Notamacropus eugenii: one gene and its partners. The protein of the gene in region 2 interacts with the protein of the main gene of each other region in a pairwise test. Links are inferred from orthologs where the notes say so. Each region holds a gene or a part of one and is shown on either strand. Other genes may lie near its edges. The genes, in order: CYB561, EDA, EMP3 and MAL.

Region 1 (7,526 bases), on a different chromosome or scaffold from region 2:
ACAAAGTACTAGAGGCAGGATATGAACTCAGGTCTTACTGACTCCAAGTCCAGCACTATTCGTTATACCACCTGGCTATCCAAGTCTTCTCACTATCGACAAAGCACAGAATAATGACATCAGAGGGCCTTAAATGCCCAGAGAATTTTAGTCATTATATTACAGGTGATGGAATGTAATACTGAATGCTTTAGGTTTTGTTTGTATGTGCATAAAACAATTTATACGTCAATTCTTGGAAGAGAGAAATCATATTCCTAATTCACTTTGATTTTCCGCAAGTAAGGGCAGTTTTATGAAGCCTACTGAGAAGATAGGTATATAGGGCAGAAGTGGGAATGAGAATGTATTTTTACTCTCTGGGAAACTGGAGGAAAAAGAAACCTGAAATAGGCAAGAAACACAGGAAAACCAGTACTAACTCAGTCTGCCAACTTAATTTATGTTAAGCATCTCCTTAAAATTACCAAGGCCCGTGGGTGAATTAAGCCAAATTCACACCTTTATTGAGGATGCTACTTAAGGACTAGAGTGACAGGAATGAAATGGACCTTTCTGCATGCATATGGAACTGAAGCCAGCCAGAAGGGAGTTTAAAGGTAGAGGGTGTCTGGAGTAATAGAGGAGAGGAAGCAAAGGGAGCTGGATTAAAGCCACAAAACAAATTTTGCACTTTTGCTTAGGGTTCTGGCAGAGCCAGCATGCCCTAAAAATTGCTGCTGTAAGCCAATGCCTGAGCTAAATTCAAAGGATGAGTTTGAAATGTTGCTAAAGTTCAGCTTTCTCCAATTCAGGCTAATCTTGGGGAAAAAAAAATCATGGGCTGGCCTGAGTAAAGAAGAACATTTGGAATTCACTCTTCCAATCCCAGCTCATTACCTTGGACAAGTCACTGGGCTCCAATACAGCTTGTCCACTCTACCTTACAGAACTGTTGTGACAGTCAAATGAGAGGAGGTACAAGAAAGTGCTTTTGTCATTGCAAAATTCTATATAAACGTAAGATCATGTTATTTAAATTATTGGCTTCATCTCAGCCCTAACCACCCAACTGGAGCATATTCTCCAGTTGTCTTTTTCTTTCTTCCAACTTATATGGTTAAAGTGAAGCCTCTGAATGAAACTCTCTAAATATGGAGAAACTTGAAATTTTTGCTTGTTTTGAATCAGGATAGCCTGAGCTTGGTCACAAGTCAAAGCAGGCTCTTTACACCTTCTTGAAATGACAGAGGATCCGAGCTGCATTTTTCTGCTTCATGCAGTATCTCAAACCAATCCTAACTACTAGGATTCTGGAATAAGAATTGAGCCAGCATGTTTGTTGATGGCACCTGGTACAGAAATTAGCCTGCTTTGAATAGTAGCACAGTCTTCCCTAGTCATGACAATAAAGAAATTGGGGAGCAGGCACCAAATATGCACATGGACCATTTGTCCCCAACCTGATGGGTATGAGGTAGCACCTCAGAGAACATTGTATATAGTACCAACAACATTGTGTGATGACCAACTTTGATAGAGAGCAAGTTTCTCTCATAAAAGTCTCACATCCAAGATATATAAAGAATTGATTCAAACCGATAAGATCAACAGCCATTTCCCCCCAAATGGTCAAAAGATATAAATTAGCAAGTGCCATATAAAAATGCTCCAAATCACTACTAAATAGAGAAATGCAAATTAACACAACTCTGAGATGCCACCTCATACCCATCAGATTAGCAAAGATGCCAAAAAATAGAAAATGACAACTGTTGGAGGGGATATGAGAAAACAGGCACACTAATGCACTGGTGGAGCTCAGAAGTAGTTTAGCTGTTCTAGAAAGCAATATGAAACTATGCACCAAAAGGTTGGTTGTACATTCTCAAAGAGAACCAAAATGACATCACTATGCTGGAGTCAAGCTTCAATGTGTCCAAGTGTGGCTGATCAGACCAATACAGGCTCACAATGCTCTACCACAGGTTAGGGATAAATAATCCAGGTGAACATTTGGGGTGGATTCTTTAAATACGCACATCCTGTGTTTCCTTTGAACTGTTTCAATTCTGCTTTGCTCACAGAGCACAGCACTTTCTCTGATGTGGGCACACTATGCTGAGTAGTCCTGTGCCAGTGTCTCCCACGTCACACAATCAATTCCAAAGTTCTTAGGAGAGACCTTGAGAGTGTTCTTGTATTGCTTCTTCTGACCACCATGTGATTGCTTGCCCTGTGTGAGTTTTCCATAAAATAGTCTTTTTGACAAGCATACATTTTACATTCGAACAATGTGGCCAGCCCATCAGAGTTGCGCTCTCTGAAGCAGAGTTTGAACAGTTGCCAGTTTAGTTCGACTAAGAACCTCAGTGTCTGGTAGCTTATCCTGCCAGGTGATCTTCAGAATCTTCCTAGGGTAATTTTTCAGGACAATTCAGTTTTTCTGGCATGTTACTAGTATACTGTAACTTATGCAAGTATAAGTTTCACAAGCTTACAGCAATGAGGTCAGCACAACGGCTCTGTAGACCTTCAGTTTGGTAATTAGTCTCTTCTCTCCTAGACTTTTCTTCAGAGCCTCCCAAACACTAAGCCAGCTCTGGCAATGCATGCGTCAACCTCATTATCAACATATACATTCCTCTAAAGTACACTACCAATGTAAGTAAACTTATCCACAGCATTCAAAACTTGCTGTAACCAATAGTTCCACAGATGGATGGTGTGGTGGTGGCTGATGGGGCATCTGTGTTTTCTTGGTGTTAACTGTTAGGCCAAAATTAGCACAAGTAGCAGAGAACTGATCCATGCTCTGTTGCATCTCAGCATCAGAGGCTGGAGTGAGTGCAGGAGCATCTGCAAACAGAAAATCATGCACCAACACTCCCTCCACTTTGGTGTAGAATGCAATGTGGAACTAGGCACCAAAAGATACTAAACTAAGCAGAACCTCTGGCTCAATGATAGAAACATTAAAGCTACACAGATCAAAGAAAGAAAGGACATAAGCGTACAAAAATTATCATAGTGGTGCTTCTGTGATAGCAAAAGAATTAAAAGTTACAGAGGTGTCCATTAATTGGCAATGGCTAACAAATTATGGTATATGAATGTAATGGAATATTACTGCACCATAAGAAATGACAAAAGGAACAGTTTCAAAGTGTGAAGCAATCAGGACCAGAAGAATAATTTATACAACATAATACAACATTTTTTTTTGCAAAATTTCATTTTAAACTTAAATACAAAATAAGAAAAGAAAAAAAGCATTGCCATGCATATGACAGAACATGAGGATTCAAAATATACAGCAATAAATTTCCATTTCAAGAAAGCCTATATAATAAATACTGTGCATTGTGCAGAGAGCTGTCCATCTTTCTTTGCCTCCTTGTAACTTTTCTTTTGGTCTTTCCTGTGTTTTCCCCCTTCCTTCCCACCTCCCCAAGGCTACAAGTAAACACGGACACATACATACACCTATGCACATACATACATATATAGATATATAGAGACATATACACATAGAAATACATAAACACATATATACCCATACATAAATACACTTACACATACATATACTTAGATATCAATAGTTGTGGTCATATATAGACATACACATTCATATCTATCTACGTAAGACTATATTATTTATTTATCCTGTTTCTCTGAGGGTGGATAATCTCTTCCTTCATAAGTCCAAGTCTTTCTATATTTTTCCAAGTCTACCAAGTCATCATCTTCTACACCACAGCAATATCCCCACCTTATACTGGTCTAGTTGTTTTAAATATTCCAAAACAATATTGATAAATAGAGCTGACAGTGTAGTTTCCCTATTTTTTCTCTTTTGATTAAATCTATTTTAGCCCTAACTTTGTCCAAGATCATGATTACCACTCCTGCTCCTTTTTCCCTAACAAATTCAACTCCCAATCATTATTTTGTTTGTCCATATCTCTTATTTCCTATCCTTCCTGACTCCTCTACTTTACTTCTACCCTCTACTTTGCCCATTACTTAACCTACCCCCACCAGGATCTCTCCCTTATCCTACCATTTCCATTTATCTAAACACCCTCCTATAACCCCCTTTAACTTATTCCATTACCTTCCCCTCTAAAGATCCCTCCCTTATCCTCTCTCCCCTCTCTATCCCCTTAGCATTTTATTTCTCTCTGAATTTAGAAGACTTTTATACTTTTCTAGATATATATGTATTGTTCCCTCTTGAACGCATTCCTGATGAAAGTAGGTTTCCAGCGCCCTCCTCCCCCTCTTGTTTTCATTCTTCCTCTCACACCTCATTTGTATAAGATAATTACCCTTTTTAGCTATTCCTAAACAGTTTTACTTTTTAAAAATCACATCTTACTTAGGTCTACCCCAACCTTTCTTATGAGCTACCCAAATACTAATAACAATCTTAGACATACATTTTACATACATAAAAGGCAAACAGTCTGTCCTTACTGAGTACCGTGTAACTAGTCTTTGGTGTGTATACCTCATTTTTCTCTTGGCTCTTGTACGTCATATCTTCTATTAAGTTCAGATTTAGTTTTTTTAAACAAAATCCTGAAAAAATTCATTAAATGTCCATTTTTTTTTTCATTCAGGATTATGCTTGGCTTTGCTGGGTGAGTGGGATAGACTTAGTGAAGACTCCTCAGATTGTAATTTTTCTCCCAGGGGTGAGGTAAGGCCTAAAGGCTCAAGGTTACAATATTTTTAGAATAGAATAGTTCCATATAAGGATATAAAACTGTGTAGTGTATTAGGGTCTCAATGATTGGACAAAACTTACATAATTCCTCCATGTCTTCATTTCAAAAGGGATTGGTTAGATTTCATGTCTAGAATGTAAGACCATATTCTCAGCTAATGAGGATAATGGTCAGTGGGGGGAGGAGGGACTTGCGTTAGGGTCTATATAAATCACTGTCCTGTTCTTTGTCTTCGGCTTTCCTACTCCTACAGGGGAGCCCCGCTTCTCGAGAATTGAATAAATCACTTTTCTGTCATCACTTTGAGAGGCCTCTGAGTAATTGATTTATGTAGGGACCTGAGCCATCCCACACAGTTTGGGGGCACGCCCGGGATCTGTGACCTTTCTGAGAGATGGCTGACAGCTCAGTTCAAAGACTGGGCGCCCGTGGGGAGATTTCCCCATCGTCCTTGAAAAGGGCTGCCAGGCCTCCCTCTCTGCAAGGTAACGACCCGAAGCAGAGGAACTCAGTGAAGACAGAAAAGAATAGAGATAGGGACTCCAAAGACTCCGAAGCTGTGAAGTGTGTAAAAATGCCAACTGGTTGGTGTTGAAGTTTGCAGTCAGGCAACTTGTACGCGTATACGACCCAGCGGTAAGCGCAGGGGGGGGGCCTGGGGGTCAATTCGTTGAGTCTTAGATAGACTCGGGGAGAAGGTGACAACTCCCAACCAAATTAGTGGACTGCGGGACCCCAGGGTGAAGGGCCCCCCCAAAAAACGTTTGCTGGGTGACTGCTGGTGATGGGCGACCCTCACCTGAGAGCTGGCAAGAGAAGCTAGCAAGAGAGCTAGCAGGAGAAGCTAGCAGGAGAGCTAGCAGAAGAGCTAGCACAATTTGTTGAGTCCCAGACTCGGAGGTGTTGGCAACAACCCTCGACCAAAGGAGCTAGCAGGAGAGCTAGCAAGGGAGCTAGCATAATTCCTGAGAAGCTAGCAGGAGAGCCAGCGGGAGAGCTAGCAAGGGAGCTAGCACAATTCGTTGAGTTTCAGACTCGGAGGTGTTGGCGACAACCCTCGACCAAAATGGGACAAAAGCAGTCCAGGAATAGAGCTTCGGAGTGGAGTCAGGAAGAAATACCGGTAAATAGTCCCTTGGGAAACCGATTGCAAAATTGGCATGAATTACCAAATTATAGAGAAAAGAATGTAGAAGAAGATGATTAAGTACTGTTGTTTTGTATGGGGTGAAAAGACATCGGAGGAGGAGGCACAATCTGGCCCAAATATGGTTCCTCTGAGGATTGGGTTTGCCAAAAATTTAAACCTATATGTACTATTCTATTCTGTTAAATGTTTTGTCTGTATATGTTGTGTTGGTATTTCTGTGTGAATGAAAGTCTGTGTGTCTCTGTTTTTATCTGATAAGGTTGTAAATTTAGCCAGTCAGCCAGCAGGAGCAGAAAGGCTGAGCTGAACTGTCCTTGAAATTCCTGTTACTCCCTTTCTTCAACCCCTCCAGACTAGTTTCAGAGGGGCTGAGGGACAAGTAGGGAGAGAAAGGAACAAAAAAAAAAATCTTTTTCCCTCAGACCTAAGAGGCATGCTAGCAACCAATTAACCATTTCCTGCCTCACCCAAAAGAAGAAGTTTTAGTGTAATGGGAAATAACAGAAAGTTAAGTGAATTCATTCTGGTCGTATTTGGAATTGTGAATAGGTGAAATGTGTCATTCTTAATTTAATGTTTCAGAGAGGTTAGAATTTATTAAAGTTTGGTGGAAGTAAGCAGAAGATTAGAAAAAAAAAATCTCAAGTAAGCAACTTAGAGCTGAGAGTTTTGGATTTAGGTTTAATTAGATCAATATATTTGATGCCAGACAATGTATTTAAAGTAAAAAGATAATAAGTTTAGGTTTTTCTTTTTCTTTGCAGGGTGGGAGGGCCAGAAAGGGGTGGCCTTGGGAATCCTGGTACAAATAAGAGGAGGGCAGAGACACCCAGGAGCATTTCTGCCAAAAATGTTAGATCCATTAACAAAGGATGGGTATTTGTTAGATGCAACATTGATCTAATGTAACTGTTACACGATTTTAAATTTTGTAATTTATTACATATAGATTGGGGTTTTAAAAAGATGTGATAGAAATTTGATAATTTGAAACTTACATTTGGTTATAAAAAAAAGAGCTGAATAGGTTAATGGCTTCTTTTAAGTTTTAAGTAAACTTAAATAAGTTTAAATTTTTAGGTAATCCATCTAAATATTGTATTAAAAATTGCATTGTTAAGCTAATTAGTGAATTGGTTAAAAAGAGTTGTTATGAATTGTTTTTTTTTTGTAAGAGTTTTCTTGTTGTAGCATTCTTATTAAGAAAATGAGAATGCTTTAAAAATGTACATGTATATATATATATAGGTGTGATTTTCAAGCCTGTTTCATCTGAGCATGTATTATGTTAAAAGTTTATTTCTGTTGTTGAAAAGGAAATTTTAGCTAAAATTGTTTTTGCCATGAATCAAGCATTTACTCTAAAGTTAATTTTTTAAAAGAAAGTTTATGGGCAAATGTGAAAAGGCTTTGGATTTAGGTCTTTTCTTGTGATTTCTGTCAATTAGTTTCAAGGGGATTGTGATAAATTGCAAACTGTACATAAGAGAGGAAATATTTGTTGTATTAAGAAATACTTTGTAAAATCTTTCGTATGGGTTTTTGGAAGGCCTACCTATCCAATTTGTATTTGTAAGTTACAAAAGTGGGAAGAATTTAGTTTCTCTAATAGGATATGAAAATACAATTGATGTCATCTGAAATTTATTGTTCGGGTTCATAGC
Region 2 (7,730 bases):
ATCCCCTGCTGCCACAGCAGTTATTTGTTTTGAAAAACAAAATATGAAAATCTGCCCTACGTTACCAGAACCTGAAAAGCTGTTTACTTCCCTGTGCATGAATCCTTGTCAGCATAGAATTCTATATCCCAGCCCAGCCAGCAGAGGGTGCCCTAGAGCACCAGAAACTTGACCCAGGACTCCACAGAACTATTGGATTGGAAATGGTTCAATTTAGACATCGAGGAAGGCTCAAAACATTGTCTTTAAGATACACAGAAGTTCACCTAAGCTAAAGTCACTTTGAAAACTGCCTGAAAGTTTCAAAGATTCAAGGAAAATCTGGAAGATGAAGCTGAAATCAGTTTGGCTAACAAGATCCTCTGACTCTGACTGGGGCACTCTAGCTTACTCAGGAGAAAGATAAGGTACTAGCATGCTTGCATCTACAGCCCAAATGTACAAAGAAGGACAATACAATTTCAGGCCTACTAGGAAGGCAGAGGTTTAAAACTTAGGCAGGACAGTATGAAACGTTCTAGGAGAATAGGTATCCCAAATCCCATTAGAGGTCAGTCCTGGCCTCTTTCCCCCAAGAAAGGAAGCCCCAGAGGTCCAGATGTTCTGTTTATCAACAGATTATAAACATGGGACTGTCTATATATTGAATGCCAAAAAGGATACTGAATTCCTTTACCTTTCCATTAGAGTTTAACTGCAAAATATTTCTACTGGGGGAGGAGGGGGGTAGCTTGAAGGGGTGAGGAGAAAGTTATGTAAAGGAGCCCAAATCTCAGATAATTATCATTTTGCCACAGAGTGTAAAGTTTCAAGCTTGCCTGCTTATTCTCTGATCAGTCCTTCTATAGGTTGGAGCCTGCTAGCAAAGCAAGAGAAACCGCAAAGTAACTTTACAATCTAGGCTAGAGAAAGCTTCAGTCTTAAATCTTCAGCAATGTTCAGTTATCCTCAATAGTAATGCCCAACTCTACAGCCCACCTGCACAGGCTGACACTAAGGTACTGAGTTCTTATATTCCAGAGAGAATGCCAGGGTTACCCTTGACCTTCAAGCACCTAATTGACCTCAGTACCTTCTTCTTCCCAAGTAATAAAAACATATGACTGTTCCGTGATCAAGCCAGAAGGCTGTTTCACTGCAATTATTACACTTTACAAACAATTTAATCTCAATTAGAATGGCTCTCAATGTACCCTAAAAGGGTTAACTATAAGAGGAGAAAAAAGTAAGCTTAAAAGTTGACCCATTCAAACCAAACCACCAGAAAGTTCATATACACATAATACAGTCTCTTGTTAGGCTGCCTCAGGCTCCTCTGAGGAGATCTCATTTCTCTAGCATGTGGCTACTGGACATTGCCTCCTCTCCCTGCCCCCCCCCCCCCCATCCTTAGCTTCCAGGGACAGAGGCAACATGCAACAAGGTGGAAGGGGAGTGTTTCCCCAAACTTTTAAAATAGCTTGGAGGTAGTAAGCCCTTCCCAAGGAATGATCGAGCTGGTATGGCTCTCAAATTGCGGGTAAAACCCAAATCATCTCACATGGTTTGACATGGAGTTGGTTAAGAAGTTACTTCCCTGGGGCACACAGCACTCACTTGAGCTGCTGGCAGCTGGCTCCGGCTGGCAGCCTTGTAGCTGCTAAGAGCTAGTAGTTATCCTCAGGCATGAAGCTGACCGGTCCCTCCAAGGGGCCTGCCTCTACTCCCTGGTTAGTTCAATGACTTTGCTTTGCAATTGGCTTAATGAGTTTGCCAGTTACTTTGTAATTGACTTTCCAACTGACTTAGTCACTTTGCCAGATACTCCTTGACTAAAACTTAGGGAATTTCTTCCCCAGGTCCTCTGTGACTGACTTAGTGAGTTACTTTTCCAGTTACTTTGTGACTTGATGAATTACTTTGTGAGCTACTTTGCCAGTTACTTTGTGACTGACTTAGTGAGTTACTTTGTGGCCAACTTTGTAAGTAACTTTGCCAGTTACTTTGTGGCCAACTTTGTAAGTAACTTTGCCAGTTACTTTGTGACTGACTTAGTGAGTTACTTTGTGGCCAACTTTGTAAGTAACTTTGCCAGTTACTTTGTGGCCAACTTTGTAAGTAACTTTGCCAGTTACTTTGTGACCAGCTTTGTGAATTACTTTCAAACTGAATGAGTTTTGCCATTTCCTTAATGACTTAGTTACATTCCCGGTTACTGCGGCAGAAGGTGACAGGCGATCAGTAGGGCAAGGGAGCAGGTGTACCCTTCTTCCCTCCCTCTTTGGGCCGCCCGGCAGGAGGGGTGACTCACCTGCTGCGGGTCCCCAGGGTCGGGAAGAAGCGCCGTGTCCCTAGACTCGGGTTCGGGTGGTGGCAGCTGCTGCTGCTGCTGCTGGAGTTGAGGTGGCAGCTGCCCGCGTTGGCGCCGGCGGCGGACGGCCAAAGAGTCCCGGGAGGCATCAACGGTAGCGTCGGGGGGTCCGGCAGGCGGCCCGGCGGGGGCGGGGGCGCGGCGGGCCTCGGCGGCTAGCTCTCGCCGCAGCTCCGAGCGCAGCTCCAGGTAGCAGCAGAGTGTCAGCAGGTGGAGGGCCAGCGACAGCGCGAAGAAAGCCAGGAAGAGGCGGCAGCTGCTCCAGGCGCCCGCAGAAGCCGAGCCCCCACGACAGCCGCAGCCTCGCTGGCTAGCCCGGCGGCGGCCCGGCCCGATGACCGGCCCGACGATTGGCCCGGGTTCCCCGCGCGCCGCTGCAGGCTCTTGGGCGAAACCCATGGCCTCCGGGGGGCCTCCCGCACTCTCTGGCACGCACGCACGCACGCACGCCCGTCCGTCCGCCCGGGAGGCCCGTGGGCCCCGCGCCGCCGCCGCCGCCGCGTCTGCTGCTTGGGCCGGCACTCTCGGAAGGAGCCCTGTCAGGCGCGTCTACTGAGCGGCCATGGGCCGGGGGGCTCGGGGCACCCGCGGCCGCCGCACCTCGGATGGACACACGCACCGACGGACTGACGGACGGACGGACGGACAGACGGGCGAGGCGGCGGCGGCGGCTGGGCGGGCCGGAGTGGGGAGCAGCCGCGTGTGCGGCCCCACTCCGCGGGCGGGGGGGCGGGCGGAGGGAGGCGGGGGCGCGGCCTGGCCCCGCCCCGTGGCCGCGGAGCGATGGCTCCGCCATCCAATCGGCACGGCCTCCCGGCTCCCGGCGCCCCGCGCCCCGCCCTCCCCAAGACTCCACCCCGGTCCCTCTCTCAGGGGGCGGGGCCGGGCCGCGTGCGGTCCCGCCCCAGACCGCTCGCTCCTCCCTCAGCTTCCCGCTTTTCCCATTCCCGTTGGCGGGAGCGGCTGCCCTTCAGCTCTGGACCCCGCCTCCAGTTAACCCTTGGGCGCCTGCCAGGGGGAGGCTAGCCCAATGAGGGGCGATCTGGAAAGGCGAGTTCTTGTCCTGTGCCCGGTTCCGTCGCGAAGGGGGAGCAGGAGCTGGATCACAACTCGATTCCACTCCACGCCTCATGCCTTCCCCGCTCACAGCAGGGGCCAACTAAGTGCTCGTGGACCTGAACCAGTGGAAAACGAGCTCTGGACGGAGAGAAGTTTGCTCGTCACCTCCCAGTGCCCCCACCTAACCCAGCGCAGCCCTTCTCCGTCTCTCTCCCTTCCAGGGGTTTCACAGACCAAGTAATTAAAACAGTTAGGGCTTTGGAATGAAACCTGCCAGCCAGGGCCGAGGTCCAAGCCGCAGGCAGCTGGCGCACGGACGAAGCCGGGACAGGAATCCCGGGAGCAGCCACGGCCTGGGAGCCCAAGGCGGAGGGGAGGGGGAGAGGGGGGACAGCCACAGACAGAGAAGAAGGGAACACAAGAGACCCAGTCTTGGGGCCCGCCCGAGGGGACTGAGAAGAGGTAGGGGTGGAGGGAGACAGAATCTGACAGAGACAGCGAGAGACAGAAGTTGGGAGCAAGAGAGCCAGTGCTGGGGCCCGCCCGAGGGGACTGAAATAGCCATTCATTCATTCGACAACCACTTAGCGAGATTCTTGCGGGGGGGTGCGGGGGGGGGGGGAGCAGTAGAGTTCCTTTTAATGTGATGTGAGAATGCTGACTTGAGCGACCAGGAAATCTGGGTTTTCGTTCTATCTCTGGCACTAGCTAGCTACGTAAGTAAGCCTGAACGAGTGACTCCCCCCCCCCCCCCCCCCCCCCCCCCCCCCCCGCCTCCCCGTTTCCTCGTTGTAAAGTAAAGTTTGGGCTAAATAAGGCCTCGGAGATCCTCTTCCAACTCGAGCATTTTTGATTCTGGGGTCTTTCCAGAGAGTCACATTCTGTGTTCCATGTTTTATCCTTATGGCTCTGGATTATTTCTCTGGTCTAAAGTCCCACTGAGCTCTATAGTTCAATGACAATCCAATCTTTTCTCCTGAAAAGAGCTAAACTTGTCCCTTCAGGGGACAAAGGGGAGAATTTGATGACCAGGATGGAGCAGATCTTCCCAAAGTGGGGGTGGGGAGGGGAGAGTGGCCTGGGGACTCTGGCATCTTCATTTGCAGGCAGCTGTCCTAGCCTTAATACACCTCCCCACTCACTCCCTGGAGAAATCCCTGGGAGGGAGTTCAACAAGTCAGCCAAGAGTTCCAGATGTGCAGCTGGAGAATACACAGCTGGCAGAATCTTTAACATTACACCAAACACAAGAAGGCAACAAACACACTGAAGTCAGACTTCCCCTTGAGCCCATGAGGGACGGTGGAAAGGACAGATCCAAAGACTCACAGTTTTCTAGGGCTAGAGCTGACTGGGTTGACCTGGAGTGGAAGAGGCAGCTCAGATCATTGAACGAAAGGGTCACGGGGTTAGAGGGAAAAGTTTCCTTAGTACAGTAAAAAGAACTCTGGATTTGCAAATGATGACCCTGAAGCTCAAGTTTTGTCCCTCACACTTACAAGGTGTGTGACTTTGAACAAATCACTGCAACTCTGTGCCTCAGTTTCCTCATCTGTAAATAGGTGGGGCTTAGGTCCTCAGGTACGGTCTTTTGACTGAGTCCAAGTTTTCCAGAACAAGTTCTTTTATGAAGGGGATTTGTTCCCTGAAGCTTGGATTCACTCAAAGGGCCACACTTGAAGACTTAGAGGGCCACATATAGACTTGAGGCCACAGATTCCCCACCCCTAGACGATATAATCTTAAAGGTCCCTCCCAGCTCTTAAATTCTATGATCCTCATGTCCCTTCCTGCCCCCAGATTACAATATACAGGTTTTATTTAATTATAGCCCTGTTACAAATAAGAAAATTGACTCAGCCCATAGCTCCATTTAAAGTGAGAAGGGCCTGGTAAGGTCCCTTCTCACTCTCTCCAGACATTAGTGATTGTCTTTAATGCCTGAAAATGTCTGTCAAGTTGGTTTATCCTAACTAACCCATTCACAGAACTTAAAGCTGAAAGGGCCTTAGGAGCTCAGAGACTTCTGGGGCTTGTCACCTTTTTGGCTTCTGTGGAGAAAATCCATTCACATTTGAGTTCTAGATAGGGATGGCCTTTGGCAGTCAGATGAAGAAGATTATGAATCCCTTCTCAGGAGGGTTTAAATCACATACATAGGAATGCAAAGGAAACAAATTCTATTGAAATACCATTAGCAATGTATTTTTTAAAAAGTTTCTATACCCCAGCTTAAGAACTCTTAGATAATCAAGTCTGTTCATTTTCCAGATGGGGAAACTACCACACAGGGAGGATACTGACTTGCCAAAGGTCACATAACTTGCTAGTTCTGGATTGTCCTGACTTGCTAATACAGTGGAGTATGGTGGTTGGATCTGGAGGTTGATCTGGAGGTTGATCTAGTGGTTGATCTGGGTGGGATATCCCATGGAATATGGATGCATTTCAGACTCAGAAAGGATTCTAGAGCATTTGCATAGGAAAGGCCCCTCCAAGGAACCTGTGAAGAGGTAAAAGGATACCTCTTGTTATCTGAAGAGGAAATGGAAGCAAATGGCAGCCATTTCTTAACATTGTAGCCCAGGGACCCTCCAACTCTCCAAATGTCATGCTGTGCATTAGCATTATCAGGGTCCTACAACTATTGGTTTCTGGGGTCCTGTCACCTCAAATCCAGACATGCTCAAGAAATTAGGGAAGGGTTCAGAACTCAAGACTGGAGACTTTCTCCAGAGACAGCCACAACACAGGAGAACACAGATATGCAGGAAATAACACTGAAATCCAGGCAACTCTTCAGAGCTGCCCTCAACTTTCACAAGGTGCCTGCCCTCACACAGAGAGACAGAGAGGGACACCGACATGGTGGGGGAAGGAATGGAGGTATCCTTACAACAACTGGCAACAGCAAATGTCTTTCTGCCCCCCTCTCCCAGGTCAAATGCCCTATTCCCCTGATTGTTGAAACCCAGACAAGGGCAGGGTGGAAGGAAGAAGTACAACTGAGCTTTTGCCTACAAGCATTCCACAGAGATCTAGAAAACTCAAAAGGCCAAGTCCTACTTAAGGATTTTTTTAAAACCATAATGAATTATTCATCATGCCCAGGTCCGCATAGGGAGACGCACAGGGAGGTCTTCAGACACTGGGGGATGGGTTGAGCTTTCCTTCAAGGGGACTGAATAAAGAGCTGCCTGCTACTGTGAGCTAGGGTAAGAAATCTTAGATCCATCACAGAGAGCCCAGAACCCCTGATCATGTTCAGGGAGCAGAAACAGATGCAGAGTAGCAGCCTTGTCACTCATTTCCCACTACTGGATCACAAATTTAGTGCAGACTGCACCTAGGAGTATAGGGCAGCTTGGTTGCACAGAAGTTAGAGCACCGGGCCTGGAGTCAGGAAGACTTGAGTTCATATCCAACCTCAGACATTTACAAGCTGTGTGACCCTGGACTTAACTTCTATTTAAACACTTAGCCTCTGTTCGCCTCCGTTTCTCCAACTAAAAAATGGTGCTAAGAATAGCACCACTGAAGTCCTTGCTCAAGCTGAACTGCCAAATATTCAAACCATGCTTCAGAGAGTGCAACTCTGATGGGCTGGCCACGTTGTTCAAATGCAAAATGTATGTTTGCCAAAAAAGACTTTTATAGAGAGCTTGCACGGGGCAGGTGATCACGTGGTGGCCAGAAGAAACAATACAAGGGCACTCTCAAGGTCTCTCTCAAGAACTTTGTATTTGACTGTGCAACATGGGAGACACTGGCACAGGACCGCTCGGCATGAAGTGCCCACGTCAGAAAGGGTGCTGTGCTCTTTGAGCAAAGCAGAATTGAGATAGCACGAAGTAAATGTAGGATGCTCCAATTTGGGATATCCACCCCAAATATTTATACGGACTATCTGTGCCCAGCCTGTGGTAGAGCATTCCGAGCTTGTACAGGTCTGATCAGCCACAGCTGGACGCACAGAAATTTCACTTTACAGTGGTGATGTCACTTTGGTCCTCTTCGAAGATGAAGGACAACAACCAACCTGAAAGAATTGTTTTGAGAATCAAACGAGATAATATTTGGAAAATGATTAGCATATTACCTGCCACACAGCAGGTGCTATATAAGTGCTTATTCCCTTTCCTACTCCCTTTCCTAGGTGTTGAGGACCAGGGCAAAAAGTCGTTGTGGGCCCTGGGCATGTGCTCAGAGAGGACCAAGTACAGAAGCAAGCAAAAACTTTGCGACGGACCCCAGGAGCAAAGCAGGGTCTGAGATCCAGTCCTATGCACAGTCAAAGCCTACAGTAGAATAACCTGGGCAG
Region 3 (7,961 bases), on a different chromosome or scaffold from region 2:
GGTCATCTGGGCACCAGCTGCCTGAGTAAGAGCGGGAAAGGCCCCCAAGGTACCGTGTTAGAGGCAGGAAGTGCATGTCAGAGGGGTTGGGCAGGGAAGAGGAAGAGGACCGAGAAAGCTTCTTCTTACTCCCCCATTCCACAGAGGAGGAAACTGGCCAGGGTCAGGACCTAGCCCAGGACAAGGCAGCTGGAGAGGCTGCTGTCTCACTGGTTCGGGGGCTGTGAGCCAGGGCCAGCTGGCCAGGGGAGGGGGACGTCACTCTCGTTTCCTCAGGTGGATGTAAATGATGCCGCTGGCCAGCGCCAGAGGAAATGCCACCCAGGCTAGGGCAAAGCAGTAGCCGAAGGAGCCTCCAGCATGATGAAACTCCTTGACGTGTATGGCGTAGATAAGGGCCCCCGTGAACACTGACACACCTAGGGGAGGGGGCAGGGCAGAGGGAGTCACACCCACCCCCTCCCTGCAGCCCCCAGTCTGGTGCCTGCCCTCCCCTCCCCATCCTCCCTTCCAAGGGGCACCCATGCCCGAGGCCCCAGCCCTGGCTCACTCACTGGTGCAGAGCTGGCACAGCCCTGTGGCATAGAAGAGACCCCCTCGTTTCATGTTGTACAGCTGGAACATGAAGAGGATGAAGGAGAGGCAGCAGAACACCAAGGACAGCACCATGAGGGCCTGCACGGCCTTGAGCCAACCTGGGGAGCAGAGCCGGAGACTCTTAGCTGCCATTCCCTTCCCTACGTCTGCCTGGTTAGACTGGGAGCTCCCAGGGGGCAGCAACCCGGCTCCTTTTGTATTGGCACTCCTGGCCCCCAGCACCATGCTTGGTATAGTAGTGTTTCATAAATGCTATTTCATTCATTCATTTGTTTGCATTGGCCCCACCCTCCTCAGAAGGTGGAATCCCAACCCTGGCTGTCTTGGGGCCTTGGGACTTTGCCCCTCAGAACTGGGGGCTGACCCCTGGGACTGATGTTAATGGGCTGTGGCAATCCAAACCCTTCTGCCCCCCCCTCCATGCAGAGGTGTAGTTGGGTGGGGGGAGCTTTGGGGGGTGCTCTCCCTCACCGTTTTCGCTGACATTTTTGCATTGCCAGATCTCCCGGGAAGATTGGTTCAAATGGGCCAAGCATTCCTTCCAAAGGTTCAGTGAGTCATTCCCAGGGAGAATCCACCATGACTGAGACCAGTCGGGGTCAAAAAAAAAAAAAGGCAGAAGAGAACAAGAATTAGGGACGGGGGAGGGTGGGGGGGAGGGTGGCCGAGGGGCAGAGCCTGCTTGGAAGGAGGGGAATTGATGGGTGGGGTCCTAGGGATTTTCCTTAAACTCCAGTTTGACTGTATCTCTGCCTCCCCCTCAGTGAAGTGTCCGGACTCCTTGGCTCTTGGCTAAAGCTGTCAACCCCTCTGTTCAGCTTTAAGGTCTTTCTCTCGTTGGGATCCCCTCAGGTTATGGGCTCATCATCTTTGCCCTCCCCATCCCTTTCCTGGGGTACATCCCCTTCCTCACATCCTCGGATGTCTTCCCTCTGCGCCCATGGGCAGGGCCCTCCCCCGTATGTACATCCATCTATTGTATGTATGTACAAGTGTGTGTCTGAGTGTGTGTGTGCATGTACCTGTGTGTACCATTGTTTCTGCCATATGCGGTAAGCTCTTTGAAGGCAAGGACATTCACTTTTGTCTCTACCCCAAAGGTGCCTGTATTGAGGTGCATCGCACGGCCAGATGCTTTCGCAGGGGTGGAAAAGGCAGGGAAGGGGGGGGAGCAGGGAGGAAAGCCCTGGGCCGAGCCAGAACACCCCTCCCTGAACCCATAATCTCACCTTGTCCAGGGTGGCCACAAAGAGCAGGATGAGAATGAGGATGTGCAGGGCAGAGACAGCCACCAGGAGCAGGGACATGATGCCCACAGAGTCTGGGGGGAGGGGAGAGCCAGGCTGGCACCTAGGTATGGAGGACACTCCCAAGGGGGGAGTTTAGGGGCATGGCCTGGGGATCTAGCCTGGATATTCCCCAGTGGAGTTGAAGGAGATGCCTGCATCCTCAAAGGATGGGGGGGGGGGGGGCGGGAAGCGTGTGTGGAGTGGAGCTGCAGGGGGATCTTCCCCTCCCACACTCCCTGTGTTTGCACCATCTGGGCCCTCTAAGAACTAGAACCCAGACATGAGGATTGAAACCTGCCCCACCTAGTTCCTCCCCACTAGTCCCCAGTTTGTGAGCTGGAGTGGGGCGCTGCCCTAGGGACTAAGACTCCACTAGGCTCTCCTCCTGTCTTCCCCCGCTCCTTGGTGGGGGTTCAACATGAGTCACTGTGACTCATTCCCTTCTCTCCCACCAGAGAAACCCCAGCCCTGGGGCCTTGCTACTGTCCTCCTCAAGTCATCGCTCGGTCTAGGGCAGGGCAGCCAAACACCTGGGGCCTTTCAGGGCTATGGAAGTGAGATAGAGTGGTAAAGGTCTGGGTGCTAGCAGGACTAAGTGTGGGGATCCCTAGGAGAGCAAAACTGAGGTGTAGGAAGCTTGGGATGCCTGGCTTAGTGCAGGGCAGTTAAGGGAATTAGTTGGGTCTCTTCAGAGAACTGGCCAAGAGGGAGAATTGGGGTCTGGAAGTTAGAACAGGAGAAAGACAGGAAATCCTGAGCTGGGGAGTAAGGGCTGTTAGCTCAGATGTCTGGATCCCCGGAGGAAGGAAGACGAGGCAGGAAGAGACAGCTGGGGTCTTTGGCAGAACACCCTCTACTTCCCCCCACCCCCAGCATCTGTGGGGAAGGGAATGTCCCATATGTGGATCTCAAAGAGTGTTGCCTCTCCCCTCTCCCTGCCCCCTCCCCTTCCTGTCCCCTTCCTCTTCCCTTCCCATACCTACTAAGTGCTTTAGGATTCTCACCTTCTCCTTGGCCAGGTAGAAGGTATCTGGAGGCAGATGGGGTCTTTCCTGTCTCAAAGGCTCCTTTCTTTCTCAAATAACGGAGAAGCACTTAGCCAGCGCAGCCAGAGGAAGTCAGAGCTAATGCTCGGTCCCTTTTCCCGGCCTCCCTGCCCCGCCCTGCTCTCTCCCTCCTTCTCTCCACCTCTTGCCCGGCCCCCGCCTCCCTCCCTTCTTCCTTCCTCTGAAGACCCACTCCCTTCTCAGTACGGTCCAAACCACTCTCTCTCTTCCACCCCGCCTAGGTCTCTGCCTCTCTCTGCATTTCTCTGTCTGTGGGTGTCTCTCCTCTGCCTCTGGGATATATTCTCTAACTTCCTTTTTATTTACAAGCAGGAGAAGCCTGGGAGGGACCCAAGTTTCCATTGAATCATGCACCATCATACTTTCTTTATGTCTCTCTGTCTTTCCCTCTCTGGGTGTCTCTCTGTCTCTGTATCTCTATGTTTGTGTCTTTCAAGTTATTCATTTGTCTACTTCAGCCTTGTGTCTTCCACTTTCTGTCACCACTGCCCCTGATCCCAGGGCTTGCAGAGACTGAGGGCTGGGGAAGGTAGCTGGAAGGTAGGACCTTGACTTGGGAAGCCAACCAGTCAGTAAATGTTTATTAATTACCGACTATGTGCCAGGCACCGTATTAAGGGCTGAGGATGCCCCTCCTCCCGCCAAAAGGCTAAAAGATAGCTTTAGGAGTTTATGATCTAATGGGGGTAGACTACACACAAAAGTATATACAAAGCAAGTTGTAGACAGGATAAGTAGGACATTAACAGGGGAAGGAGCTGGGATTCAGAGGGTTGGGGAAAGCTTTGGGGGAGGTCAGTATCAGAGTGGAGGTGTTGAGGTCAGGAAACCATAGTGTTGAGATTTGGGTGCTCAGGACACCCAAATGAATTCGACCCGAATCTTCTTTCAGCCAAAGTAAAACAAAGTTTATTAAAGATTTGCCATTTTGGGTTGATTCTTAACAAGCCTCTTGTATTGACAAGTGGGCCAGATAGAATCTCAGCGAGATTGAATCTAAGCCAGACTGAATCTGAGCACCTTCATGGAGGTGAGATGGAATTTATATACAGAAAGATTGTGTGAGGGATCTGGCGATGGTCTAGGGTGATGGGAATTGGGGTTTAGGGAGGATCTTGATGGGACTGGGGTGACTGATCAAAAGTGGGAAGCAGGTGAGGCAATCCAGAGGTAACAGGTAATGGAGGGCTGGGCTAGGTGAAGGGTAACGGGCATCTGGGTGTGAAAAGCCAGATTAAGTGGGAAGATTGAAGGAGGTTCCCAGAGTCTACCACATCGTAGGGTGGGGTGTTCCCGGCATGGGAGATAGGCAGAGAGAATGTCTGGAGCCCAGAGATGCAATGTCTTGCTTGGGGAAAACCAGGGTGGCCAGTGACACTGGATTGGAGTATGTATTGGGGAATGAGGTTTAAGGAAGGAGGGCGCCAGGTTGGGACGGGCCTTGATCTCAAGAGGGCTCCGCATTTGACCCTGGAGGTGGATGACAGGGAGCCATTGGAGTTTATTGAATGGAGGAGTGACTTGATCAGATTTGTGTTTGAGGAAAGTCACTTTGTTGAGTGGAGAAGGCAGACCTCCCCCCCAGCAGTTACTGCCATAGTGCCCCCCGCCCCCCGTGGCGTTTCTTTCATTCCAGTGGGGGAGGGGAGAATAACCAATACACAGATAATTCGATCTAAAACACAATACAAGTAATGTGGGTGCAGCAGGGGGGCCGCCGTCTAGGAGCCTCCACCAGCCAGAGGAGCGGGCTTTGGAGGCAGTGACTTCGGAAAGTCCTTCATTTTACGGGCCTTTTTCTTCTCTTTGCACCCGCTGCTCCTGGGGTCCCCCAGCACTGCTCGGTACCCAGGAAGAGGCCCCGGGCTTGATGTGATCTGAAGCTCAGATCTGCCACCGGGCAAAGCTCTGCTCAGATCCGGAACAGAAAGCCAGAGCAGAATTGGAACCCAGGGCCGCCTCTGACTCCAAACCCACGGCTCCTTCCTGGCTAGCAGACCGTGCTTGGCCGAACCGGGAGCCGTGGGCACAAGAGACGGATTTGTAGCCCTGAGAGGGCAGGTGGGAGGTGGGCGCGCCCACCAGGCTAGGGCCAGGAGGGCCCCTCAGGCTGATGCTGAGCCCCGGGAGGAGAGCGAGGAGGCTACTGCTTCCTCCCTCAGGAAACCGCAGGCAGCTTTGGGGCACGCCCTGTGCCGCGGGCGGCCTGGAGCTGGGCTGCAGCCCGCCTTCCTTCGAGGCCCAGCCCCGGGGAGCTGCGGCCTGGCAGCACGTGGAAGGTGGCTCGGGCTGGGGGCGGGGCTCCCTCCCACTGAGGGAATCGGGGAGGAGCCCCGGAGAGAGGCTCCGCCTCCTGCTCCGAGCGGTTCGAGGGCGTTGGTGCTCAGGCGCACTAGGCGGGGGCGCGAGGGAGGGAGGCGGCGGTGAGCAGCTCTCCCTCCGCCCATCTACGCCCCATTTGCCACCCGCAGATTAAGAGCCCTTCTCCCCTTAGCTCCGCCCCCTCGGCAGCTCCTAAGCCCCGCCCCTCACAAGCTCCTCCCTCCCGCCCCAGCCCCTAGTCTGCTGCTCCTGCATCCCTCAAATCCCCCTTGTCCCGCCCCCTTAACTCCTAGCTTCAGCCAAACCCCCATCTTCCTCCCCAAGCCCTCCCACTCAAATCCTCCCGAGTCTCTCCCCTCAGCCCCCACCCCAGTTTCTACTACCCACGTCCCCTTTGTCCCGCCCCCCAGCATCCCCAGCCACACCCTCCCAAAGCTCTCTTAAATCTTCACTCTCCCGCTTGACCCCGCCCCTCACCGCTTTAGCTCCGCCCCCAGGCGGTGCCACGTTCTCCTCTCAGCTCCAGCCCCTTTTTCTCAACCCCGCCCCTCCCCTTGGCTTGCATGCCTCTGCTCCGCCAGCCCGAGGCCCGGGGAGGGGTTTGGAGGAGATCCTCTGAGTCAGCCTCCCCCAGAGGGAGTCGGGGGAGGGCCGAAGGGAGGGAGAAGGAGGGAGGGGGGAGAAAGGGAAAGGGGAAACCCGAGGGAGGAGCGTGAAGGAGGGGCCCCAATCCCCCTCCCCCCCCACCCCGCCTGGGCCAGCTTCCCCAATCCCCGCCGCCGGCCCTGTAGCCCCAGCAACCAGGACCACAACAGAGGGCGTAATCGGGCGAGGCCCGAGTCTAGACCTGTAGGGCCCCCGGTGCCCTTGTGCCCCCCAACTTCCCAACCTGGATCCTCCACTGCCCTCCAAGGGCCGCCCAAGTAGACTTCTCCCCGCAGCCACCATGCCGCTGGCCATCAGCGTGCGCTCGGAGGACAGCGAAGCCTACCTGGATAGCTCCGGTAAGTGCTCGGGCCGGGGGGTCGGAGCGGGGCGCTGGCCCGGCCTCCCTCCAGCTGACCCGGCCCCCGCCTGCCCCCCGCCCTGCAGAGGGGGAGCTGAGCCGCCTGCAGAGACAATGCCGGGTGATGGAGGCGGAGCGGCAGGCTTACGGCCGGGAGATCCAGCAGCTGATCCACAAGCAGATGTGAGCCGGGTGCGGGGGGTGGAGGCTGGCCCAGGGCAGGTGTGCTCGGCGAACGGAGAAGGGCGTTCGTGGCTTAGGGCGCAGGCCAGCTCCAGCTCTCTCGGGCTCCGGCCGCAGGGTGGAGATCCAAAGGCTGCAGCAGGAGCAGACGGAGCTCCGGGTGAAGATGGAGATCTCGCAGAGCCAAGCCCAGAAGCTCCTGGACCAGGCGCGGGAGAAGGACCTTCGAAACCTCCTGGAGCGCAGGCAGCAGCTGTACAAGGAGGTGATCCAGGCGCAGGAGCACCTGAAGAAGCTGGACCAACAGGTGGGGCCGGGGCGGGGGGCAGTGCTGGGCTGGGCCTGCCGGCCAATGGAGGACCCACCGAGTCCCTTCTCCACGGCCCCACGGGGCCCCAGATTGCCAAGTGGGAGAGTCGAGTGTTGCTGCAGCTGAAGGACCTCAGGGGCCCAGGCTTAGTCCTCCAGAGGAAGGCCCGGGACCTCCGAAGAGTGAAGATCTTGGAGAACCAACTAGACCGGGTGGGTGCTCCTGGGGCACTGATGGGGGGGAGGGTCCCAGGAGGCCAACAGAGCTTCTGGTGACCCTGCCATCCTGATGCCCTGCAGGCCACCACCCGCTTTGACACCCAGCTGGTAAGGAACAGAATCCTTCGAGAAGAGCTGGGTTTGCTGCACATCCAGAGAAATCGTTTTCTGTATATCAACCAGCAGCTGAAGAAGGTCAGGCCCCCCAGCCCTAGGCAGAGGGAGGCGGGAGCAGGGCTCAGCTTCTCTCCCTCACCAACTTGTTGCCCATGACCGTGCCCATGCTAAGCAGGAGCTGCAGGACATCCGCTCCACCATTAGATCGCACATAGACGAATCCAACTCAGCCTTTGATGCCAGGTAACCTTTGGCTCTTCCCTGGCGTGCCAGGGGGTGCCCTCTCTGCTCTGGGTGAGTGTGGGTACTGGGTTTGTGACAAGTTGGGGGTGGCTCTGTTGGACTCAGGGAGCCAACCCCCTCCTCTCAGTGTTGCTGGGATTGACTCCTGAGACCCTGGGCAGCACCAAGTTCCTTCCCTCTAGATGTCTCTGGAACCCTCTTTAAGACTGAGAGAACCAGCCCTCTCTATTAGGCACCTCTGCGACCCTGCCTGGTGTGCAGTCAACAGGCCCTTCAAGTCTGTTGTCTGGGATGTTCCCTGTCCTCTCCAGGGCAAGGGAGCCAGGCCCCTCCATGTTTTTGGTACAGTCCCTGTCTAGGACTGAGGAAACCAACTCTAACCTACACTAGGCTCATCTAGGTTCTCTGTTGGGGCCAGGATTGAGGGTACAGCCCCTCCTTGTGTCTTCAGGCAACTTCCTTGAGACCCCATCCAGGGCTGAGGGAGCCAGACTTCCAAGAGGGCCAACCCCATCTGTGCTCTTGTGGCCCCCCCCATGTGTCCCTGTGGGCCCCCCATGTGCTTCTGCATGTTCCCCCAATGTGTCTCTGCAGCCCCCCACATGCCTT
Region 4 (7,875 bases), on a different chromosome or scaffold from region 2:
TTCCTAGTCTCCATGTCTTTGTTCATACTATTCTACTTTGCTTGGAATGTTCTCCCCACCCTGACATCTCTACCATTTGAAACTCTGCCCATCCTTTAAGTTCTAGATCAAAGGCTACTTCCTTCCTGAAACTTCATGATCCCCCTCTTCCACTGGAAGTGATTTCTTTTGCCCCAGAACACTTTATTTGTCTTATTATCATAACCAGCCATCATGCAAATTGAGCAAATGTTCTCAATTCAGTTGGGGTGGGGTCACAGAGACTCTCAAACATTTTTAATCTCCTTCCTCCAGCCACTACTAGACTGTAAACTCTTTTAAAGGCAAGAATTGTGTCATAGACACATTTGTACCCCTTCAATTGCCTGGCGTAGTACTTCTATCCAGTAAGTACTCCTCAAATTTTTATTGAATTAAACATGATTACATGATAACTAAATAGAAAAATTATATCCAGGAGTCATCCTGCTGGCCCCAGAGACAGCTATCATTTAAAAAATCTCCCAAGTACCCTGAAAGCCTCTTTCAGCAACACACTTTCAACTTTTGATCTGAATAAGAGGAAACTACTTATTAATCAGGCAATAAGCATTTATTAAATTCCTCCTGTGTACCAGCCCCTACCAGTACCTATTATGTATATTAGATACTGGATATACAAACACAAAAGTGAGATGGTTAATCCCTGAAGGAGTACAAATTCTACTACTACTATAGAATCTGAGCACATGACTTAGAATTTAAAAGAACAACTGTGTTTGACTTGGAGTTGACTAAGAATAACAGGAAACAAATGAACAATTCTTGGTAGTTGGTAACATAAGCACACAGCAAATTCCAGTGGGTGGTGGCTGGTATCCAAATGTTTTCTAACATGTATGCAAAAGGAACTACCATAAGAATTTTCATTGAGTTTTTCAACTAGTATAGTCTTTATGAACTTCCCTTTGAACAAGGTCATAGAGAACAAGGTGAAATACGGAGGTCCAGAGAAGTCCAGGGATTTGCCCAAGGTCACACAACTTTCACTGACTATAGTGGGAGGAGAATCTTAAGCCTCCATCTATTTAAGCACCAACCTAGGTATAGTAGGAATAGTGCTCTGCACTATTATTATGCAAACAAATGTTTCTATTGTAATCTTTTCAAATCAAAGCTATCCAAACCTACAGAGAAAGGATTTAAGGTACATATCAACAAGTCCCACAGTTTTTGAATGAGGGATAACACCCCCCCCCCAAAAAAAACCCCAAGTCCTCATAGTATATCCCACCCAGATATTAATTGTCATAATTGTTCTGTTTTACAATCACTGAGTTTCTTTTGCTTATTCTTTGTCTCACAAGATTCTGGGCATTTTCACTGACGGTCTCCCAATCCCAGAATGCTCTTCTTTCTCATTTTCTACTCCTGGTTTTCCAAGCTTACTTCAAGTTCCAGCTAAAATCCCACCTTCTACAAGAGGCTTTTCCTAGGCCTGTTTAATTCTAGTGCCTTTCTTTTGAGATTCCCCTCAATGTACCCTGTATATAACTTGTTTGTACAGAGTTGGTTATTTCTCCATTAGCCTGTGAGCTCCTGGAGACCAGAGCCTGGGCATTTAGCACAGTGCTTGGAATATGGTAAGTACTTAAAAATTTTTGTTAACTGACTGATAAAAAAACTCAAAAAAACCCCTCAGTATTTCTCTCTCCCCCCACCCCGGGTAATAGATTTATAGCTGGAATAGACATTAGAGGTCTTCTATTCCAACCCCCTCCTAAGTTAATGCCATAATAAACCAAATAAATCTTTATTTTAAAGTTACACAATTTTGACAGTGATTCAAATTATATTTCTCTCATCAAGGGACATTATAAAAAAGCTTAGGAATCAGTACAGGGATAAAGAGATGTATGCAATGTTCAGCTGAAAACATAAAAACGCTTCCATTTGGTCATTACAAGTTGAAAAACAAACTTTAAAAAATTACTTAAAACTAGTCACACTCAGAATCTTTTGGGTAATGTGCTTCATTTAATACCATATTAACAAGTTGGTTTTTTTTTTTTTTTTACTGCATTTAGAATTTAGGTAATTCTCTAAACAATGTTTTGTGGTACCCCCAATTTATGTTATAACATTTCACAAAATCTAAGAAAGAAAACAATTATCAGCTGGCTGTAATTACAAATTACAGGAATTGAGGCAGAGAGAGGTCATAGGATCATTAGAAGTGACTTGCCTAAAATTATTATCGGTAGTAAGAGGTAGAGGCGAAATTTGAAACCAAATTCTTCAACTCTAAATCCAGAGTTCTTTACGCTACACTCTGAATAAATATAGTTTAAGGCAGTTTTGTTTTTAAACGCAAAAAGGACCTTGGGACCAAAGCATGTACTTGCTAAGCAGTATAAAGTTTTAAGAATGACAGCTTTATGGGAGTCTTTTGATTCTACGTAGACTATCAATTGCGTCAATTTGAGTTGCTGGAAGAAATGTTTGAAATCTCCAAATTCTAGAAAGTCTACAGCCCTAAATGACTTTGGGGAGGCTCTAACAGGTTTATGATGGAGCTCACAGGCTGGAAGGCTCTTATCAGCTTGTGCAAGGCTCTTTGGCACTTGGACTAGGAGATCGGGAGTTAAATCCTAGCTCCCAGTTTAGTAGCTGTCTATGTAGCTACAGCAAATCTCTTCAGTTTTCTGAGCCTTTCTGCTTGAGTAAAGGGAGGACAATATTTGAACTAGATGCCTCACGGGGTTGCTGTGAAGAAAGTGCCTGGGAAATAGGAAAGTGTTAAAAACCAACTGGGTATGAGCCCCATTCTTGTGCCTTCCCCCTTGTCAAGGGAGTAGGAAAAATCCTGACACTCGCAGAAGAGCTAGTAGCAGCATCATAGTCTGTCAAGTCTGCAGATGTTACCTCTATCTATCCTCATTCCCCTTCCCCATGGCCAGGAAATAACAGATATTTTTAAAGACCAACTCACAAATTCAAAAATGAAAAGCAGGTCTGGGAAGGTGGCCAGCACAGAGAAGCCACTGGGCAGGGAGCCGCCTCCCGAAGTTGCTGCAGGGGCCATCCTCTCTGCTTTCAAGGCTCTAAGAGCAGCCGCACTTGGTGTCGCTGATTTTCTGGGAGACAGAGAAGGTCCTTCCTCTCACCGGCTCTACCCGTACTCTCCGCTGGTCCTGGAGAATTCTGAACTGGTCTGATGGCCAGGGCGCCCAGGATTAAGAGGGGGGGAAGGAAGGAGGAGGAGACTGGCGCCCCCAGTGCGGGGTGTGGCAGCAGGTGTCTCCTCCCTGAAGGTGTAGACAAAGGACCAGAAAGACGCTGCCAAATCCTCATCTAGTGGCACTGGACGCGGTGACTGTGCCAGAGGAAACCCCGAGGATGCCAAGATGCCTACCCTCCCTCCCTCCCTCTGGCAGGCAGTGCCCGGTTCAGCCCCAGAGGGGCGCACTCCCCACTATGCTAGCCCAAAGTTGGATGGGGCTAGTTCCTGTGCCTTCTGTTCCTCACCCCCACCTCCAACCTGGGCTTTCTCTACTCGGTCTCAAGGGGAAGGGCACCGGCTCTCTCAGCGGGCCGGTGTTTCCAGTGTCCAGGGTTTAGAAGGTTTAGGTTGAAAGATCTGCCCTTGAGACGTGTGGGTGGGTGTGGCAGAGGAGTACGGGGATGAGGGGAATAACATTCACTGGATTTTAGGAATCAGAGTTAGAAAAGATGCTTGGGACTGGACCTGTGATTTCATCGGTTTAGGGAACTCCTACCAATGTAGGCTGCCCATCTTCGCGGCAATGTACAGTCTTAGAGTTGCCTGGGGGCATTGAGGTGTGACTTAACCACTTCCAGATGGTGAAAGACCTTTGGAAACGTCTATTTCTACTCCTTCACTTTACACCTGATAAACTCAAGGTCCAGGGTAGTGAAATGATTTATCTAAGGTCATGAAGCTACTAAGATGGGGGTAATTTCTCAGGTCCCTTCCAGGACTAAATTCTACAAGCGTGTAAGAAACAGATAGGTTTTCGAACTCAATCTAACTCTTTTGACTTAGATCCATGATCTTTCCATTAGCCTTCCGTACACGTCTCCCCCATCCTCTGGCCCCTAGTAGTATCTTCCCCCCCCCCGCCCCCCCCCCCCCCACTTTCCCGTAGGCTCCTGTAGTACCGAAATTAAACAGTTCTTTCCTTTCCGAAAGCCACACCTGCAGCAATAGGGCGAGTTTGTCGCCTAGGTATTTTTCCTTCCTCAGCCTCAACGCCCATCCTATATAGTCAAGAGAATGAATATCCTGGGTTTTCTTGGTCACTTTTCTACGTCGCGGCCACTTAAATTTCAAGGCTTCGCATTTTAAAAAGCCCTCTTACTCGGTAGAATGTTGACTGTTCAGTTTTCAGGTGTCTGCTTTTACATTCAAGCCTTCTTTATCCTCCTGCCCGGCCCCTCAGTGAGTTACAAAACCAGGCTAAGAAACTGAATTAAACCTCAACTGTATTGCTTTACCTCCTCTCCTCCAAAAAACAAAAAGAAAAAAAAAACAATTGTTGGGGGGGCGGAGGACACCATTTGAAAGTCACTGGGTTGTCTATGTCTACCTGGAATTTTGGAAAAGAAGTCTTTTAAGTTACTATGGAATAGAGTGGAGACAGGACACATAGTGAGGAAGATCTGAGTTTGAATGTTGCCTCAACTTTGCGTCTTCGAGCAAATCACTGGATTCCTTTCAGTTTTCCTTAGCCGTAAAATGGGGAGAAGGGATAAGAAAAGCTGAACCTTACAGGACTGTAGTATAACCCAATCAAGGTGTAATATGAAAAGACTGTAAAAAACAAAAGATAGCAACAAAATGCATGATCAAAGGGGTGCTTTTTTGAAAGTGAAGTTGTGATTACTAAGAGCCGGAAGGGTTCATCTTTTTTTCATTAAACAATTATTTAGTGTTTTATTTATTTCCCAGTTACATGTAAAAAAAAATTTTAACATTCATTTTTAAAACTTTGAATTCCAAATTCCCTCCCTTTCTTTCTTTCCCCCTTCCCTCACTGAGAAGGCAAGTAATTTGATATAGGTTATAAATGTGTAGTCGTGTAAAATATTTCCATATTATGTTCGTCCTTCGTTGCCAAAGAAGACCATGTTAAGTCAAAAAAGTATGCTTCAATCTGTATTCAGGCACCATCAGTTCCTTTTCTGGGGATGGATAGCATTATTATCATAAGTCCTTCAGAGTTGTCTTGGATCATTGTATTTCTGAGAAGAGCTAAGTCATTCACAGCTGATCATCTTATACCATTGCTGTTGCTTTGTACACAGGACATTTCATTTTGCATCAGCTCATGTAAGTCTTTCTAACTTTTTCTAAGAGCATCCTTCTCATCATTTCTTATAGCACAATAGTATTCCATCATAGTCACATACCACAATTTATTCAGATATTCCCCGGTTGAAGGGCATCCCTCAGTTTTCAATTCTTTGCATTCAGAGAAGAGCTGCTATAAATACTTTTGACTATATAGATCCTTTTCCTTTGTGTTTTTTAATCTCTTTTGGGATACAGACCTAATAGTGGTACTGCTAGATCAAAGGGTAGGTTTTATAGCCCTTTGGGCATAGTTTTCAACATTTGTCAATTTTCTTTTTTGGTCCTCTTAATAAACCTAATAGGTATGAGGTAGTACCTCAGAATTGTTTTAATTTGCATTTCTTGAATCAGTGGTGAGAGTATTTTTTTATATGCCTATAGGTAGCTTTGATTACTTCATCTGAAAACTGTTCATATCTTTTGATCATTTATCAGTTGGGGAATGACTCATTTTTACAAATTTGACTCAGTTCTCTATATGTTTGAGAAATGAAGTCTTTATCAGAGAAACTTGCTTCATATTTTTTTTCACAAATACAATTGCTAACTATGTTTCCCTCCATCCTATTCTCCCTTGCCACCTGGTTTATTCTGTTCTCTCTCTCTCCTTTCACCCTGTCCCTCCTCAAAAATGTTTTGCTTCTGACTACCCCTCTATCAACCTGCCCTCCCTTCTATCAGCCTCCCCTTCCCTTATTCCCTTCCCCTCCTACTTTCCTGTAGAGTAAGATGGATTTCTATACCCAATTGAGGGTGCATGTTATTTCCTCTTTGAGTCAATTTTGATAAGAGTAAGGTTCACTCACTCCCCCTTACCTCTCCCTTATTTCCCTCCACTTTAAAAGCTTTTTCTTGCCTCTTGTATGTAAGATTATTTACCCCATTCTACCTCTCCCCTTCCCTTTCTCCCAGGACTTTCCTCTCTCAGTCCCTAATTTTATTTTGTTTACATATCCATTCATATTCAACTCATACCTGTGCCCTCTGTCTATGTATACTCCTTCTAACTGCCCTAATAATGAGAAAGTTCTCAGAAGGTACAAGTATCATCTTCCCATGTAGGAATGTAAACAGTTTAACTTTATTAAGTTCCTTATGATTTCCTCTTCCTATTTACCTTTTTATGTTTCTCTTGAGTCTTGTATTTGAAAATCAAATATTCTATTAAGCTCTGGTCTTTTCATCAAGAATATTGAAAATCCTTTATGTCATTGAATATCTAATTTTTTCCCTTGAAGGATTATACTCAAGTTTGCTGGGTTGGTGATTCTTGGTTGTAATCCTAGCTTTTTTGCCCTCTGGAATATTATATTCCAAGTCCTCCAATTCTTTGATGTAGAAGCTGCTAAATCTTGAGTTATCCTGACTGTGGCTGCACAATACTCAAATTGTTTCTTTCTGGCTCCTTGCAATATTTTCTCCTTGGGATCTCTTTCAGAAGGTGAATTCTTTCCATTCCTATTTTCCCCTGTGGTCCTAGAATATCAGGTCAGTTTTCCTTGATAATTCCTTGAAGATGATGTCTAGGCTCTTTTTTTGATCAAGGCTTTCAGGTAGTTCAATAATTTTTAAGCTATCTCCTCTGGATCTATTTTCTAGGTCAGTTGTTTTTCCAATGAGGTATTTCACATTGTCTTCTTATTTTTTTATTCTTTTGGTTTTGTTTTATTTTTTCTTGATTTTTCATAAAGTCATTAGCTTCCATTTGCTCCATTCTAATTTTTACAGAATTATTTTCTTCAGTGAGCTTTTGGACCTCCTTTTCTCCATTTGACCAATTCTACTTTTTAAGAAGTTTTTTCTTCAGTGAATTTTTGTGCGTCTTTTTCCATTTGGTCAATTCTGCTTTCTAAGACATTCTTCTCCTCACTGACTTTTTATAACTCTTTTACCATTTGGGCTAGTGTGTTTTTTAAGGTATTGCTTCCTTCAACATTTTTTTATGTGTATCTCCTTTACTAAGCTATTGACTCATTTTTCATGTTTTCTGGCCTCACTTTCATTTCTCTTTCCAATTTTTCCTCTACCTATCTTACTTGATTTTCAAAATTTTTTTTGAGCTCTTCCATGGCCAGAGACCAATTCATATTTTTCTTGGAGATTTTGGATGAAGGAGCTTTGAATTTGACCCTGATTTTAACATAGCAGAATTTAAGATAGCAAAATTTTAAGTAGGAGAGGAGCAGAATACAAGAAGAAGAGTCAGTTTAGGTTTATAGGTGTGAGAGAGTAGGTGTCAATGGTAGTAACCAGCAAAGTAGGGAAAGTAGACAGGTTGGAACTTGAGAGTGGACTTAAATGATACCAGTGTTGATCTTTAGGACATATTTCCATTAGTCTGTGGATAGAAATCAGGAGTTCTAGCTCTCACTTCTGGGCTTTATCTGTTAGAACAGTGTTTTCCACCCTCAACTGTATTATGGGTACACTTATGGGTAAAATAACCAAATCACACAAGGTTAAAGTTTCAGTCTTCTGTTTCTTCCCTGAGGAAGGCAGGAGCTCAAAGCAGAGAGAAG

Evidence for each region.
Region 1: the proteins of EDA (region 2) and CYB561 interact in binary tests that used the Homo sapiens proteins (3 or more experiments, as listed by UniProt). The two-hybrid records come from large-scale screens. The link is inferred for Notamacropus eugenii from reciprocal best matches to the Homo sapiens genes EDA and CYB561.
Region 3: the proteins of EDA (region 2) and EMP3 interact in binary tests that used the Homo sapiens proteins (3 or more experiments, as listed by UniProt). The two-hybrid records come from large-scale screens. The link is inferred for Notamacropus eugenii from reciprocal best matches to the Homo sapiens genes EDA and EMP3.
Region 4: the proteins of EDA (region 2) and MAL interact in binary tests that used the Homo sapiens proteins (3 or more experiments, as listed by UniProt). The two-hybrid records come from large-scale screens. The link is inferred for Notamacropus eugenii from reciprocal best matches to the Homo sapiens genes EDA and MAL.

What each region holds. Positions count from the first base shown.
Region 1 is NC_092873.1:344,382,002-344,389,527, reverse strand, and holds the start of CYB561 (transmembrane ascorbate-dependent reductase CYB561), read right to left. Parts: upstream 3,147-7,526; 5' UTR 1-3,146. UniProt on the Homo sapiens protein: Transmembrane reductase that uses ascorbate as an electron donor in the cytoplasm and transfers electrons across membranes to reduce monodehydro-L-ascorbate radical in the lumen of secretory vesicles.
Region 2 is NC_092879.1:100,925,744-100,933,473, forward strand, and holds the start of EDA (ectodysplasin-A), read right to left. Parts: upstream 3,072-7,730; 5' UTR 2,750-3,071; coding exon 2,291-2,749; intron 1-2,290. UniProt on the Homo sapiens protein: Cytokine which is involved in epithelial-mesenchymal signaling during morphogenesis of ectodermal organs. Functions as a ligand activating the DEATH-domain containing receptors EDAR and EDA2R. May also play a role in cell adhesion.
Region 3 is NC_092876.1:12,891,973-12,899,933, forward strand, and holds the start of EMP3 (epithelial membrane protein 3), read right to left. Parts: upstream 3,065-7,961; 5' UTR 2,891-3,064; exon of another isoform or gene 2,866-2,890; intron 1,948-2,865; exon of another isoform or gene 1,919-1,947; 5' UTR 1,905-1,918; coding exon 1,827-1,904; intron 1,181-1,826; coding exon 1,069-1,180; intron 696-1,068; coding exon 555-695; intron 420-554; coding exon 259-419; 3' UTR 1-258. Other genes in the region: ODAD1 (outer dynein arm-docking complex subunit 1), read left to right, coding at 6,222-6,986, 7,074-7,187, 7,285-7,352. UniProt on the Homo sapiens protein: Probably involved in cell proliferation and cell-cell interactions.
Region 4 is NC_092872.1:605,721,803-605,729,677, reverse strand, and holds the start of MAL (myelin and lymphocyte protein), read right to left. Parts: upstream 3,402-7,875; 5' UTR 3,065-3,401; coding exon 2,972-3,064; intron 1-2,971. UniProt on the Homo sapiens protein: May be involved in vesicular trafficking from the Golgi apparatus to the cell membrane. Plays a role in the maintenance of the myelin sheath, and in axon-glia and glia-glia interactions.